Linked DNA regions of Lepisosteus oculatus. The main gene of each other region encodes a partner of the protein of the gene in region 2 in a complex. Links are inferred from orthologs where the notes say so. Each region holds a gene or a part of one and is shown on either strand. Other genes may lie near its edges.

Region 1 (8,039 bases), on a different chromosome or scaffold from region 2:
TAATGTAATCCCATCCTCCCTATTGCTTAAGACTAACACAGACATTTGGTGGCCTACCAATGATTCATAAAGACCACTGTAGCAGTAGTTTTACATTTAAAACTTTTAATGAAAACTACACACAGTAAGAGAATCAACACTTTCCAGGCGCCCAGGACCTCAATGTGCTATGAAGAGACACTCCTGGTCAAACAGCAATAATTTTCTACCAACGTGTTCGCACTGTTCTGCAGTAAGGTTTTGCTGCCTCATCCACACATCTTTTTTGAAACCATAAAACCTGCGAGGTTATTTTCACCAAGACAGCAAAAGTAACAACATGGCAAAATTGTACCTGGAAATAAAACCCCAAATTCTGGGCTCATTTAAAGTGAACGTTCACCAAAGCTAATCCAAAGGCTTGGCGTTCAAGCACAAACACGCAACAAAACAACAATTCGATAAAAGGGACATTTGTGTGACTAAATGACGCCCATCTTTCCCCTAATGTTTATCCTTCCGTTTCGTTTATAGATTCCCAAATACGGAAGTGATATCCTACTCTGACTAGAATTAGTGTGCATCGTTAATACAACCCTAAAACTGGAAACACAATCCGTAGTTAAAAACAATGGCTTCGAGCACCACCGACGCCTTTTAATTTACATATCGGGGCATGAGGACAAATCCTACAAGAGCGTATTTCTCACACACAAGTCCACGAATTTCAAAACTGGTTCAGTCGCACCATACGTGCCAGTATTGGTGCATAGCGAAACTAAACGTTAACCGCATTGGTTACAGCCTGCGCGGGGGAAAAAAAAACTGAAGTTGCCCTGCCTCATGAATAATTGGGTCTACACTTAAGGCACCCTCACCCCGAAGAATATAATATCATGGCACACGAAAGAGGCCCAGACCTTCCAGACCTCCTGAGCACGACTCAACAGACGAGTGAAACAGACTGGGGGGGGGGGGGGGTTTGCAAAAACTGTGCACCTGCATCGTGCATTCTTTTAGAGTGAGGAAAAAATGGGAACCTCCAAAAACGGACCCCCCGGTAGCCTTTGTTCGGTGTCCAATGTGCTACAGGTTGATGATGCGATAGGTGCCGAGAGCAGGGGGTGGCACGCGCACAGCAAACGCAGCACACAAGCAAGCCGTCCCCGTCGGGGTTTTTTTTTTTGTAAATAAAACGCAAAATACCGTGGGTGAAAACGACGTAAAAAGTATAAAAATAAACGGAGAGAAACCGAACTCGCCGCCCAATGTCTCTCAACAGGCTTGATATATTCGATAATTTAGCTCCCCTGCCTCTATTTCTCTCTCACTTTTTTCTCCTCCCCGTCCCGCCATCTTGGGCCGATTCAAGCAGCCATTACTAACTATGTTTAAAAACAGAACCAACAACTTCGTCGCAAACCCCCTCTCCCCCCCTCGTAAGACAGCATCCCTTCCACACGAACACGGTCAACAAGTTTTTACTTATTTACTGTCAAGCAAACCGCGACGACAGGCACGGCTGGGTGGCGGGTACAGCTAACTGCACGACACGGCCATGTAAATAACATCCAGGGAACGCAACTGCTGGAAAGCACCAAATAACCGCAACAATTTCTGCTTTTAGCTTGAGCTAAAGTCATGGGGGGGGGGGCGGTGAAAGGATTTAAAATAAAGATCCTAATTCCCCTCGTCGCGAATTCAGGTTCAATAACACAAATCCAACTGCAATCTAAACCGCACAGCCATCTAACAATCCGTAATATCGCCACAAACTGGACGTGGCTCCCAAATATGACTGACCCATTTTTACAGATCCTACATCAACATCCGAGGACCAGTTTGCCAAAACTGTCCCCCTCCCCAAAAAAAAAACAGGGAAACGGAACCGCGCAGCCTGGTGAGATGCACGAAGGTCCTGATGTAGTCACTACTTTTCCATGTTAAAAACACACACGCACAATAACACTAACAACGTCACCGCTGCAAACATTGCTACCCTGAAAAATTAAATGCCCCAAAATAAGAGTCCCACTCCCGATCTCCCACAGCTCTGCAAATGTGCAAGACTGGGGAGAGGGTGCAAAACACACCAATTTTTAATGCACGGGGGGCGCATCGCCATGAGGTCGACCTCTTTTCTCTTAAAGCGCTTTAAACTAGGTGCCTCCCAGGTACAAAATGCACTAACGGGAGTTTAAGGGGGGGAAGGCCTTCTCGGGTCCGATATTCTTCAAATACCTTTAATAGCAAGGCCTTCGTTCTGGCGCCATCTTCATGAAGCCTCTGAAATCCAAACAGCCGGCTGTAAAACAGAAAACAACACACAGGCGGCTCCGCGTTAACTCGGGAGGTTTTGCAAAAAATAACCAAGCGGGTTTAAATTCACTCGTTTTTTTGGGGGGGGAAAAGAAGACCACCACCACCGCGGAACGCCAGGAAGAAGAGAAAAAGCGGCATTTTCCCCGCACCGCGCCCTTTTCTGACCTGTCTATCCCGGCCAGGGTGTCCCTCTCCTGCGCTGTCAGCCTCGGAAAGTCCTCTTCGGTTTCAATCGCTTTTCCCGCCGCCATTTTCTTTTCCTCATCACCAGCAGTAGCGCCGAGACTTCGAGCAGCAGCGCAGGCGGCGGCGGCGAGCGACACTCCGCACGATTTCATGGGAACGCACCGGGGGGGCAGCCAACGAAAAACCTCCACCAAAACAAAACAGCGAAGCCAAAAAAAATCGGGAGAGGGAAAACCAACTTTTTTATTTCCAGGATTGAAAAAAAAAAATGCAAAAAAAAAAAAATAAACAGTAAATCCTTTTTACAGGAGAGCAAAAAAAAAAAAAAGAAACCCTCCAAAATGGTCTTCTTTTTTTTTTTACATTGTTTTATACAAAAAATATCTGTATGCAACCGAGAGCGTTGTTGTGCATGGAGTGCTATGAATGCGGGGTTTTTCAAAACGGGGTGTTATTTGGTTAATATCACAAACTTCCCCCCAAACCACCAGCTCAAAGTTGTTGTAATTGTGTCACACAGGCGAACCCACGCCGCCGCCGTCGGTACGCCCTCCCCTCTGCCTGCCGCAGCCAATGAGGAGCGCCCGCCGCGTCATGTGACCAGCCTTGTCTGTGGATGTCTTGGGGTTCCTTTCTCTGGAGCTCCGCGCCTCTCATACAAACTTACAAAACGGCAAGGATAGAAAAAACACACACAACTTCGCTCGTTCTGCCCTCTCGCATGGATTGGTGGGCAGTCCATTCAATAGGGTGACGTTTTACCTTTCCGATGCCACGATTGGATGAGAGTCCTGCCATTTTCCGTGTGGTATTGCAAAAGGCGGCCTTAATTATACAGCAGGTTAGTAGGTCCAGCTACATATACGAGTAATTGCGATGACTGTGCCCCATTTTTTGGTTACAGCGTAGATAGTTTGAGGTGCGCTGGTTGTGATGGTAAAAGGCGAAGTTATTTCTTGGTTCGTGATTTAGTAAAATGCTCGGTGTAAAAGGCGAAGTTATTTCTTGGTTATTGATTCAGTAAAATGCTCGGTTAGGGGGAAGTGCCAAACTGCGGTTGTGCAGTTAGAAACCCTTTTTTCACTATAACAAAAACGCCATTATCTTGTTTTACCCATTTTTGTTTGTGGGGGGGGGGGGGGGTCGTTCGTTTTCATGGTTCCCACACAGATTGCGATTTAAAATGAGTTTTTTTAAACTGAAGGTGCCGTCGATATTAGTAAAGCAATCTGTAATGTGTAACTTGGAAATTCATCCCTTTCTGAGCAAAAGGCAGCGTAAAACGTGAGTGTGTGAAACTCGTAAAGAAACAGTAAAGTGAAATATGGTGCTTTGTACGCACAGCTGCAAGCAAGAGGTGGCCGTTGTGTCCATCCTTGTTTGAGATCTTATTTTCAAAAGGCATAACTTTTGTTCTCAACAAAAGGATGGAGAGCATATGCTCTGGACACAAGTTTGGAGAAATGGGTCCTGTTTTCCTCTCAATACATTCCTTTTTTTTTCAACTGTGATCTGGTTTTGTTAATACCTGAAAAATAGTCTTATCTAAACCCCTTGGCGTTTTGTATACTTGTAGCAAATTGCCTCTAGGAGCTAGAATATTGTAGATGTCTTACTAAAGAATTTTAAAGATGGTTCATAATTACACTGTTTGAATCCCACACTTTTTCCTATGCACCCCAAGTATTCCATTAACTTTTCTTTGCTTCCTCATGTTATTTTGATGTAGCTGAAAAATAATTCACATAAACAACCAGATGCTTCTTTTGTGTAACTCCCTGCAGCTCCAAATCACCCATGTGGGATGTACATGCATAGTAAATGTTTGTGCTTCAATGTTACTTTTAAATTTCATAAAATCCAATCCATTTTTTTTAACCCTTGGTACTTCTCTTGCTGCTGTTTGTGTGTTTGCCACTTGTGTTTTTGTGTCATGCAACCATTAACTGTTTTGTTAGCTAATATCAAAATCCAAATTGCTTATACAAATCATAAAAAATAAATATCAGCCCCTTTCATAGGTTATGCATTTTAGGATGGATAAATGCATAAGAATTCTTGTTTGTTAAACCAGTTTCAATCTATGTGCGTTTTTTTACATTGAGTTTTTTTTAATAAAGCTTTTAATGAGCGACCTTGTCAAATACTTTCTGGTAGTCTAAATATGTCATTTTCTATAGTGGTTTCAATAGTGGATCAACTGTCCTTGTCGCTGGTAAATTAAATGAGGCTTTCATCTAAATCCATGTTGGCTGTCTCTTAAAATGCAAATGTTTTAAATAATTCTTTTAGTTCAGTTCCAGCTATCATTTCTGTAACATTGCCAGCAACATAAATAAGACTGATTGACTTATAGTTTCCTAGTTTAATTTTGTCCCGCTTTTTATGCATTGGTGTTACATTTGCAATTCTGAAATTGGTGCGATTCTTAATGACGTGAATTATACTGGTAAAAGGTCTATGAAACAATCCAGACACTTTTTCTAAAGAACTACTGGGAAAATAGTCAGGCCGAGAGGAAGTGAAAAATTGTAGTCATTCCGCTTGCAGCAATACCTCATTCTCAGTTATACTAAGATTAATCAATACTCTAGGAATTCTTTCTGCAGTATAGAAATTCTTTAACTTGTTTCCAATACTTTCAGAAAGCAGAACACTCTTCAACTTGCCTGTTATTATTTTTGACTTTATTGAGTGATTTTCTCTAAATAAACATTTGCCACCCTTTTTTTTAAGAAAAATAAAATTCACCTTGAGTATTTTTCTTGTGTACTAGAATCCAAATATTAAGAAGGAGAACTGCAGCAGTGTGAACATCTATGTAAAATCAATTGCGTGTGTTATAGGTCCATCAACATATAGATTAATTTTTTATATGGAAAATAGGTAGAGGTCTTTGCTGAGCTCTAAACAAATGGAAATCTTAATCACTTATTACATGTGAGAACAGCCGATTGTGTTAAAATGTATGTGTTAAAATGATACATATACCTCAACCAATGGTTCCCAGCCCTGGTTCTGGAGGAACGCTCTTCTGTATTATATTCCAGTTGAACTCGAAGTATCAGGGGCTGATTGGTGATTTATTGGATCTGCCTGCTTGTTTAGATTTTTATTTAGCTCAAGGGGTGCTGCTTCCAACACTTCCAGTACACAGAACATTGTTTCTTACTAAAGGTCTCTTCCTAGTCGACCAGTTGCTGATGAACGCCCACAGTGAGCGTTTCTTTCTTCTGCACTGATCCAGTTAGATCTAACTGATTTATGCCAGTTTTGTGTGAGAGGGATGTTTTGTAATTTAGAAAATGACACAGGGATGAAACCAATTATATATCCCATTTGACCCTTTAAGAGTTAAAATTAATAATGTAGATAATGCTACAGGTTGAAAACACACATCAATAAGCCTGTAATTAAGAACTTGGAAGGAATGAAAATCAGAAGAGACATTATTCTCCGTGGCTCAGAACCCCAAGTCCTAAAAGCTGCAACAGCTGGGGATTAAATCATGACCCACATCATGACAGGCAAGGAAAAGAACCACAGGCCTAAAATGGCCTAGTTTTGTCACCTGGGTGCACTTTTGCTTTGTTTCCTTCCCATCTCATCTCTCCTCTTGTCCCGTACCATAAGCCCAGAATCCCAGTCACAGTCGGCTAGTGACCTGAACAAGGTCCGTAATCGTCCATAATCATAATCCGTAATCGTCGAGTACATTTTACACTCAGGCAAGCACTTTCAGCCTTGCTTTCAAGGCGCCCAGGAAGTTAACCAAGCACTGCAGGTGTCCAGCAGATTGTGCAAACAAAACCACCTTGAAGGCTTTATGAGTTACATGGCCTCAGGGTCCAAGAACCATGGTTGTCGTTTCTATATATGAACAAAATGTCAGTGGTCCACAGCGCTGTTGTTGTGTTAATTATGCAAGCGGTAGTCCACATTCTCAGGGAGGTAGATAGGCCCAACAAGAAATCAAAATCAACTTTCAGGCCGGCTTTAAACACAGGCTCATTACCTCATTGTCAGCTGGATTGGATTCCCTGGCAATGGGGGGCTCTCACAAACATAAAAACCCCTCCCACCCCCGCCCCCAGGGTCGTATCGGTAACAGTAGACATAGCATGCAAAAAAATCAGTCCTTTTCCTTCTGTTGGAGTGCTGCTGTAAATGAAGGGCATGTTAGGAGATAGATTATATGATGCATGTAGGTAATTTAATACCTATGTGCACATAGTTTTCCATATTTCTTGATTTTTTTGCACATATCGAGAGCATGTATTACAGCATACCTGTCATTTAAATAGCTTAGGCAAAGTGTTCTTAGAGCTATGTGGGAGAATAGAATCCAGGTCCATATTCGCTTGTGATACACTGTCAAACAGTCGGACAAGCAACCTATAATGTCAAATATGATTTTTGTTACATGATTAACATCTAATCATATTCATGGATGTCCTTGTTAAGATTTTGTTGACAATAAGATCACTTTATTGGCCATATACAATTTATTGTATTAGGAATCTGTCTCTTCGCAGACCCCAACTTGCTCTCCATGAGACACAGACAGGGAGAGAAGCTTGGGGTCAGAGGGCAGGGTCAGCCATATAGGATTTTTAGGACTGAGACTACTTGCAGCCAGTCTCCAGGTTCCAGGTTGCACCAGAAACATATATGTGCATAAAGATAACCTGGATTACATGCACAAAGAAAAAAAAAGAGTCATATCAGCTATTTCATAGAATAGAGTATTTCTCTCAGTTTGCAAAGGTCATGCAAGCTCCTCAGCTCTCTGCCTGTCAGGTGTGCACCACAGCCAGTAATGTTTGGGGCCCTTTGTTATAGTCACACATAGCAGGGGTCACTTTCCTGGCTGACAGGAACTCCGCTTCCTATATTGGTACAGTTCTGCCAAGCTTTAAATCTGTCAGAGGTGTCAGAGAGGCAGAGAGGAGTGGCTTTCTGTCACTAGCAACAGCAGAGAGGCCTGTAAAGCACAAGAGATGTGGGATGACGTAGAATCCATGTCTAGGTATAACTTTTCTAGACAGAACAAAGCAGAAGATGAAGCTGAAAAACCTCCTAGAGTTTCAAAAATGCACGATGTGCCTCTTCTGCGTTGAATTCATAACAGAAAAGCATGAAAAAACAAACCAAACTAATACAGGAGCAATTGTTCAAGAGGTAGGATTAGAGACTTTAGGCAAAAGAAAAAGAGCTTGTAAAGGTAAACGTTTTAACTGATTACAATGATTCTTTAAGTAGGTACTTTGCTTCACAGGTTGCTGTTTGTTTTACAGAGAACATTTTTTTTCAAAGAGAACTGCTGAATAGTGTTTTGAGTGTGGTTAGCACTCCATATTTTATCTTTCCTGTTGTAAAGCAATGTGGTGCGTTACTGCTATGCTAACATAACTATTTTAATGAAGGGAGCTAACTACCAAAGCAGATTTAAAGTAAATTCAGGAATCATCACAACAGAGGATCATGCACTAATTATTGGAAGTTGCCCAATACAAATACATAATTTATAAACAATTTAAAAAATAAACATT
Region 2 (7,020 bases):
TGCTGCTGGTTGTTCTGCGCGATCAGCCGCAGGCGGTCGGCGGCGTCCCGGGGGATGTTGAACGTCACGCGCACGCTGTTCCAGGGCTCCAGCCGCTGGGGCAGCAGCCGCTCCGAGTCTGCCCGGGCACAGGAGGGAAAGACGGGTGAGAGGAAACCACGAAGAAGCCCCGCCAACGCCCAGCCGCGGCCGGTGTGAGTGACAGAATTCGCAGTTAAGGCACTGAAAAGTAGGAGTTTGCACTGATGTTTTGTTTTATGTAAATGTCCATACCTGATGCTGGATTCTACTACTCTAGTCACACTATTACAACTTTCCACTGTTACCTCTGTACTTGGTTCTGTATAAAAGCATAGACAGATTGTGATCCAATATCGTTTTCCCAGTGAGATCAAATCTTTGCTTTTATCCATAATGTGGTGGGTACAGTGTATTTTAATTCTCACAATGCTATCGCGTTGTTGCTCACCTAGTTCCAGCATGCCTGGCATACTTTCTAAGAAGTTGTGCAGGTTCTCCTGGAAGTCTTCATCACCCATGTTGCCCTTAAAGGCGATGAAGATGTTGGAGTTGTTGTCCTGGCAGCGGGGCCGGGGTGAGAGGTCATGGTCATCCTCCACCCCAGAGTCCAGCCCCGTGTCTGGTTCGCCCACAGGTGCTGTCCACGCTGAGGGTGGCTCTCGGCCCTGCCAGTCTGCCATTGCCCCTCCTGTAGAGCAGCGAGGCTTGATCAAAACCAACCCTGCAGAACCGAGAGGCATTGTGGGAAGGGCTTGAGCTCAGGTTCACACAAGTAACAGCCAATCAGGTGCAGCACAAAAAAAGGTCAAAACAGACTACCTGACAACCTCACAGTGCGGCTCACAGGAGCTGTACAATGGGCCCAGTACTGTTAAGATCTCAATTACATTTATCAGCTATGGGAAAAAAAAACATTTCAGGAACAAAAAACTATTTTTAATGTTCTCATAAACATTCTAAATTGAATGAACAATTATTGCTCCTAAAGGGATGTCTTGCACATCACAAAGCTCATACACAAATACGACCACAATATAATGCAGCAACAATAACAAAGTTGTTTGGTGTTTGGACCACATTCAACGTCCAGTACCATAAGGGTTAAAAAACAAAAAATGTTCTTACAAAAATCCAAAAACAAAACTAATGTGATCCCTACCTACAAACATTTTAATATAGAAGAGTTGAACGCTTTTAGGTATAAAGGAAAGAAGTGATCTCTTAGTCTTTATACAGAAGATGCAATACCTTCTCCCTGAGGATAGGAAGGTATATTCTAAAAAGAGTGGAGGTGAGGGGTCATCTCAGATTTTATGTGCAAAATTAATAATATATCACTCCATTACTGAGTCCAGGATTGTGGAAGTAGTCTTGCCACCAGTCCTGATCACTTTGTTCAATTTATTTTTGAATATAGGACAAGGCACCTCCCCAGCTCTGAATACAAAAGGTTAGGCCTCTCTGTATAAAACATCTTATTACAAGGGTCAACACTGTGCTTTCTACGCTGCTATATCGGCCTTCATGAGCGGTTGGAAACATGACAGACATGCACCATCACAGCTTCCAAAGAAGCACCATCACTGAAGAAGAATGCACAATGTTTCTTCAACTTTTCAGATTATAGAGAAGTTCAATGCAATTTTCCTTCAAAAGAGGCAATCCAACTGAAGCTCAGCTCTTTGACAGAAGAGACTGGGCTGGACCACACAATTTGTGACATTAACTATAAAAATAAGAGCATAAAATGATCGTACCCCATGGTCATTCAGCCTACCTAAGCGAAAGAGTATTCAGAAACCTGAGTTTCATAATAAACCCCTTTCTTTTCAGCATTTTTACATGCAGAAAATAAATACCAGATACCAGCACCACACACGAATTCACACAATCTCGACCTCCAAGAATAAACTGAACAGATAACGCAAAAGCATGACAGACAGCAACTGACAAAACCGACCTTTACGTCTAGGAAAAATGAATAAACCCTGCATGGATTTAATAATTTAATAATAGAGTCAACAGAAGGAGTAATTATTCCTCCTCAAAAACAGTTTATCTTTGGCAGTAATATGACCAACAAGGAATGCAGAAAATGCATGTATATTCGTATTTAAACCACTATAACGAATCCGAGCAGCTTATAAGATAATTCAGTAACATTTAGCAGTCTGTGCACTGTAGTTATGTACAAGATACAAGAGCGGCATTATTGTACATCTTAAAAAGATCATATACAGGAACCATTTCTCACGAAAATACATTTCTTTAAAAATCTCAATATAAATTTGAGTTCAAGTAAAAAGAAACAAAAGCTGTGATCGTGACAGGAAAAATATAAGTTAGGGTTTTGACACCTTAAAATAATGGTTTGTAAGAATGATAGCACCCATATCAAAATGCTGCATATTTTGCATTTGCCGAGTAATTTATTTCCATCATTTCAAACATCACACACACTGTTGGCTACCAGTCTGGAGGAGATGCATGCGATGGTTACGGTGGAGATGTTATCCCAACGATGCGCGTCAGCAGTCAGAAGAAAACCCTTTTTGGTGACATTTTGGTTTCAACCTGCAGGTTTCCGAGACGCGAAGGCGTCCCCCCTGCTCGCTTCAGACCGAAAACCGTACGACAGACGCGAACTCGAACCCGAAAGGAGCGGATTTCGTTTTCCGCCCGAGATTTGCGATGTATGAACGCAACCATCACAGGCCCTCCGAGTTTGGTTTTCCGCCACCATGGATGTGCAGGCTATACACCGGCTCCGCAGCCGGAGATCTGAATCTCTGCCATAGTCGGTAAAAACGCCCTCGCTTTATTGCAGTTACACCTTTTAATCTTTTTTCTTTAAGCCAAGCAGAACAAGCACATAGGCTGGGTTTTAATCCTTACCTGATCACTCCATTGGAATCAACTCCTGTTCGGTAACAAAAAAAAAACGGAGCAGGCAGCCGTGACAACAACACGAAGCGAGGGGGGGGGGGTGGGCAGACACTAGACAGCCTTTTCTCGTTTTCGCCCTATTCACAAATCAATCTCCTCCTGCTTCCTGGCATGAGGCGTGTAGTGTTAGGCTGCGCAACTGGCGTAAACGAATCGTTCAGGGCGTCGTGCAGATTTGTCTTTTCGCTTGCCGTAGTTTCCGCCGATGGCGGTGATCTCTGAGCTAAGGAGAACAGGGGGAGAAGTTAGCTCCGCAACAAGGGACGAAGCTATTGGTTGTGAGCTGCTCTGAAACTCAGTAAACCGAAATTCTCTTTGACAAAAATCGAACCAATAATTGATTTTAGTAGTGAAGGATTTATTATTATAGCAGAACAGGGGGGTACGACTTAGTTCTGCATTTTTTTTTTATTCGCTGCTACACTGTATAATTTATTACCTAATAAAAACACGTCCGACGTTACCTTGTAAATTCACACTTCCGTGATGTTTTGTCGCTTCGCCTGTGTGTGTGTGTTGGCGTTGAGCAGCAAGAACAACATTTTGTTAAATTAATGTCTTGCGCACGCAAACGACTTTATTTCTTTTTGCACTTTGCTGTTAATGCTAATAATTGTCGTTCTTATCACTCGCAGCACACGAAAGAATCACAGACCGAACAGAAAATAGAAATGTTCCGTCCTCCAGCAGTATCAGCGCACTTCTCTTACCGTGGCCTGATACAGTAAAACTAGTTTAAAGAAATGCATGATTTCCTGACACTCTTTACATTGTCCTTATTGCTGTAATGGGTTATAATAATGGCATAGTCGGATTTATAACGCCTTATTTTGCCCACATGTATACAACCACTTAAACCAAGTTATACAACCGGTTTTCGGCAAATACGTAAATCATGATAAAGTAATGGAAATAAAAAAAACTAGCCACAGCATATGCCCTGATATAGAATTGTTTTAAACCCATCACCTGTGCATTCCAACATCGACATCAACCAAAGCGCATATAAATGCATATACTATATGATATAGTGCGTATAAATCATAACTACGTACAAAACCACAATGACCTTGCCTCACAGTTTTTGTGTTTCATTCTAAAACTAAAGCTTGGGTACCTTATCTGTGGAGTTAGCTTGGTCTCGCATCACACCCATGGGTTTTTGTGAATTATCTATTTCTCTCCCAACATCCAAGACACACTGGCTAGTTTAAGAGGGTACCTAAATTGTCCATGACCCACTTGAGCCACTGTGTGTCTGTACCTTGCAATAAACTAGTGTCCTGTCCAGTTTATAGACCTGCCAGTTTGTAGATAGCCTTCCGTTTCTGTTAATGGATTGTTGATGTGATTTTGTAACACAATACAGTATTTCTAGATAGTATTACTGTGCTTTTCCTGCTTAAGTGTTTTGTTAATTTCAGTAAAATATGTAATTACTCTTCACACTGCTAGTTTGTAATTAGAGTATAGATTGCTCAAAAGTAAGAACATATGCTTGTGAAGAAGGCAAACTTAAGGTAGGTAAAAAAAACTACATACTACAAAACACACAGTCTTGACATGTTTTATTAGAAAATCTGTTAGACCTTGTACATGAGATGAATGAACATTGACTGCTGGCAACATCATAATCTTTTAAGCATTATTTTATGGCAAAAAGGCATTTTTAAGTGTCAGCTTTATTAAAAAAATAAAGCGTCATCCAGTTTTGTGAACTGAAGGTTAGTAGCCTTCCACTACAAGAGTACTGTTATAAAATACAGTACATTGACACCTAGTTCATTCAGTCGTCCCTTTTCTTCCATTAAACTTGGCTTCTTTCTGATTGCTAAATACACATGACTAATGTGCAGAAGAACAGGCTGGGCAAACAACAGCACTAACATTTTGATATAACAAAAGATGTTCTGTTTTGTAATGCAAATGCAACATTACAGAATGAACAAAATGAGGAACGGGATTGATCCAAAATGGGATGTAATCTTTTTTGGATCAGTATTAGGGCTACAGATAACAACAGCAGCCAGAGCAGAGCAACAGCTGCTCAGAGCAGGAGTAGCGTATGAGAGGGTACCAGCAGAGAACCATCGATTTAATTGATCCAGAGATTTCTGAATAAACTCTGTTCAGCTAATTGACATGATGAACCTTGTTAACACAAATTCAAATATGACCTCTTTTTCAGATCTGTGAAAAGCTGTGTGTATAAGCAGAGCATTCAGAAAGTTGTCCTAGACATCTAATTTCTCACAATTGTCCTGTGATTTCTGCCTAAAAAGGGAATTTGTACTGTAATGGTCCCTGTTGGGTATGATTGAAACATTGTGTCCTAACGGTATGACTAAGCATGGCATGTCCTTCAAATGTACAAACTGTTAATCTTATTGTTAATCTAACTTGTAGCCCAAAAGGTTTCTCTTTCTTCCTTCAATTTAACAAAATTAAATTGTGTCTGTGTTTCATATAGTCGCAACCATCGCTGAACTGGGCCAGTAATCTCAGTGGAGTACTGTACGTTTGAAAAACAAGAGATCTAAATAAAGTGTAATCTCCAGGAACTACCCTTATCCCCCAACAATAACTGTATATACCACAATTATATTAAATCTAAGATAATAATTCTCAGAGTGATAATATCAGATTCTGACAACATACATTAAAACGAATACAGGGGTGATCACTACAAAACACATTACTTGTGATATCACTAGTTCATGTCCCACTGCATTTATTGACTAGAACTCTACTGTGCCAATTAAGCAGAGGGTATAATGCAAAGTAAATCCAAATTCCTAGGTTAATGTAAGTCTGTCATGGCTCCTAGTTGAACCATGTACAGTACAGTTTTAGTGTGTCAAAGATTAAGATATTAAAGTATGCTGTGTTACAGTGAAAACAGTACAGTAATGCAAGCTCCTTTATGGCACTTTGACTTGGTTACCTGGCTGGGATGGAGAATTAAATTGCCAACTGCATAAATAGTTTCTTAATATTTCTAAATTATTGATAATTTCTGCGGTAGACTTAGGGCTTGACCTTAACTGATCTCCAGATCTTAGTGGCAATTATTAACATAATCAGGGAGTCCTGTTGCATAGCTGACTTCAAGTAAAAATTACTAGTTACTAGTTTGAAGAAGAAAAACCGATTTCCTATTTTAATTGTGTATACATAAAAAACTAACCATGTAACATTACAGACATTTCTAATGTTCAGTGTAAAGTTAGGGTTTTTCCATTCATTATACAAATGTTATGAAACCATAGCCTGTCAAATGTTTGCATCTCTTTCCATGAAAGTCTGCTTTTATACCTATTGTTTCAGTCTGCAAACTTTTAGCAAAAATGAAACTTCATTCTCAGGTACTAAAATGACATCCTAAGCATACTGTACCATCACTTCAAATATTGCATTTACAGTGTACATTCAAAGCATCCTTCTGGACATTTCTACCGGCAGTCAGCTACGATACCTTACATTCTGTTCTACTGATAATTTGCCAAAATCATCCCGTAAGTGGCACAAAATGAAGCAGTACATTACATTACAACAGTAGCGGGACGGATGTTTTAAGCATGTCATGATTCAGTCATGTGAATTTCCATCTCCAACAGGTCCGGCCCCGATCAAAAAACCTCTTGGACAGATTTTAAAAATTGACCTTCTGAATTCTGAAAAGCAAAAAATGCACTTTAGATAAAGCTTCGCACTATCATTACGGACACCTGATGGGCGCACGGCGGATGACAGGAAATTCTCAGCAGCACATGACGCCCCTCTTTTGATACAGGGCAGGGTGGAAGGAAAGGGGGTTCGTGTCAGTTCTTGGGGTTGGCCTGCATTGATGGTCAGTGGTATTTACAGTGTAGCAAGTGAATGCTTCTGACTAGACAAGACTGCAACGGTGAAACTGCTGTGCAACATGCCCTGTGAATCTGGCAAGAATCTACAATAAATATCGAATCGTGCACCTGTCTGCAGGATTAGGCGAAACAGCTGGCCCCTCCCTAAACTTGCTGACACTTCATGCTCCCCCCCGCCTGTGACCGG

What was found.
Region 1: ncoa6 (region 2) and kdm6a share a complex: the UniProt entries of both Homo sapiens proteins name them as parts of the MLL2/3 complex. The link is inferred for Lepisosteus oculatus from reciprocal best matches to the Homo sapiens genes NCOA6 and KDM6A.

Annotation. Positions count from the first base shown.
Region 1 is NC_090710.1:3,601,572-3,609,610, forward strand, and holds the start of kdm6a (lysine-specific demethylase 6A), read right to left. Parts: upstream 3,005-8,039; 5' UTR 2,640-3,004; coding exon 2,467-2,639; intron 2,285-2,466; coding exon 2,221-2,284; intron 1-2,220. UniProt on the Homo sapiens protein: Histone demethylase that specifically demethylates 'Lys-27' of histone H3, thereby playing a central role in histone code. Demethylates trimethylated and dimethylated but not monomethylated H3 'Lys-27'.
Region 2 is NC_090711.1:6,899,121-6,906,140, reverse strand, and holds the start of ncoa6 (nuclear receptor coactivator 6), read right to left. Parts: upstream 3,019-7,020; 5' UTR 2,917-3,018; intron 743-2,916; 5' UTR 702-742; coding exon 470-701; intron 119-469; coding exon 1-118. UniProt on the Homo sapiens protein: Nuclear receptor coactivator that directly binds nuclear receptors and stimulates the transcriptional activities in a hormone-dependent fashion. Coactivates expression in an agonist- and AF2-dependent manner.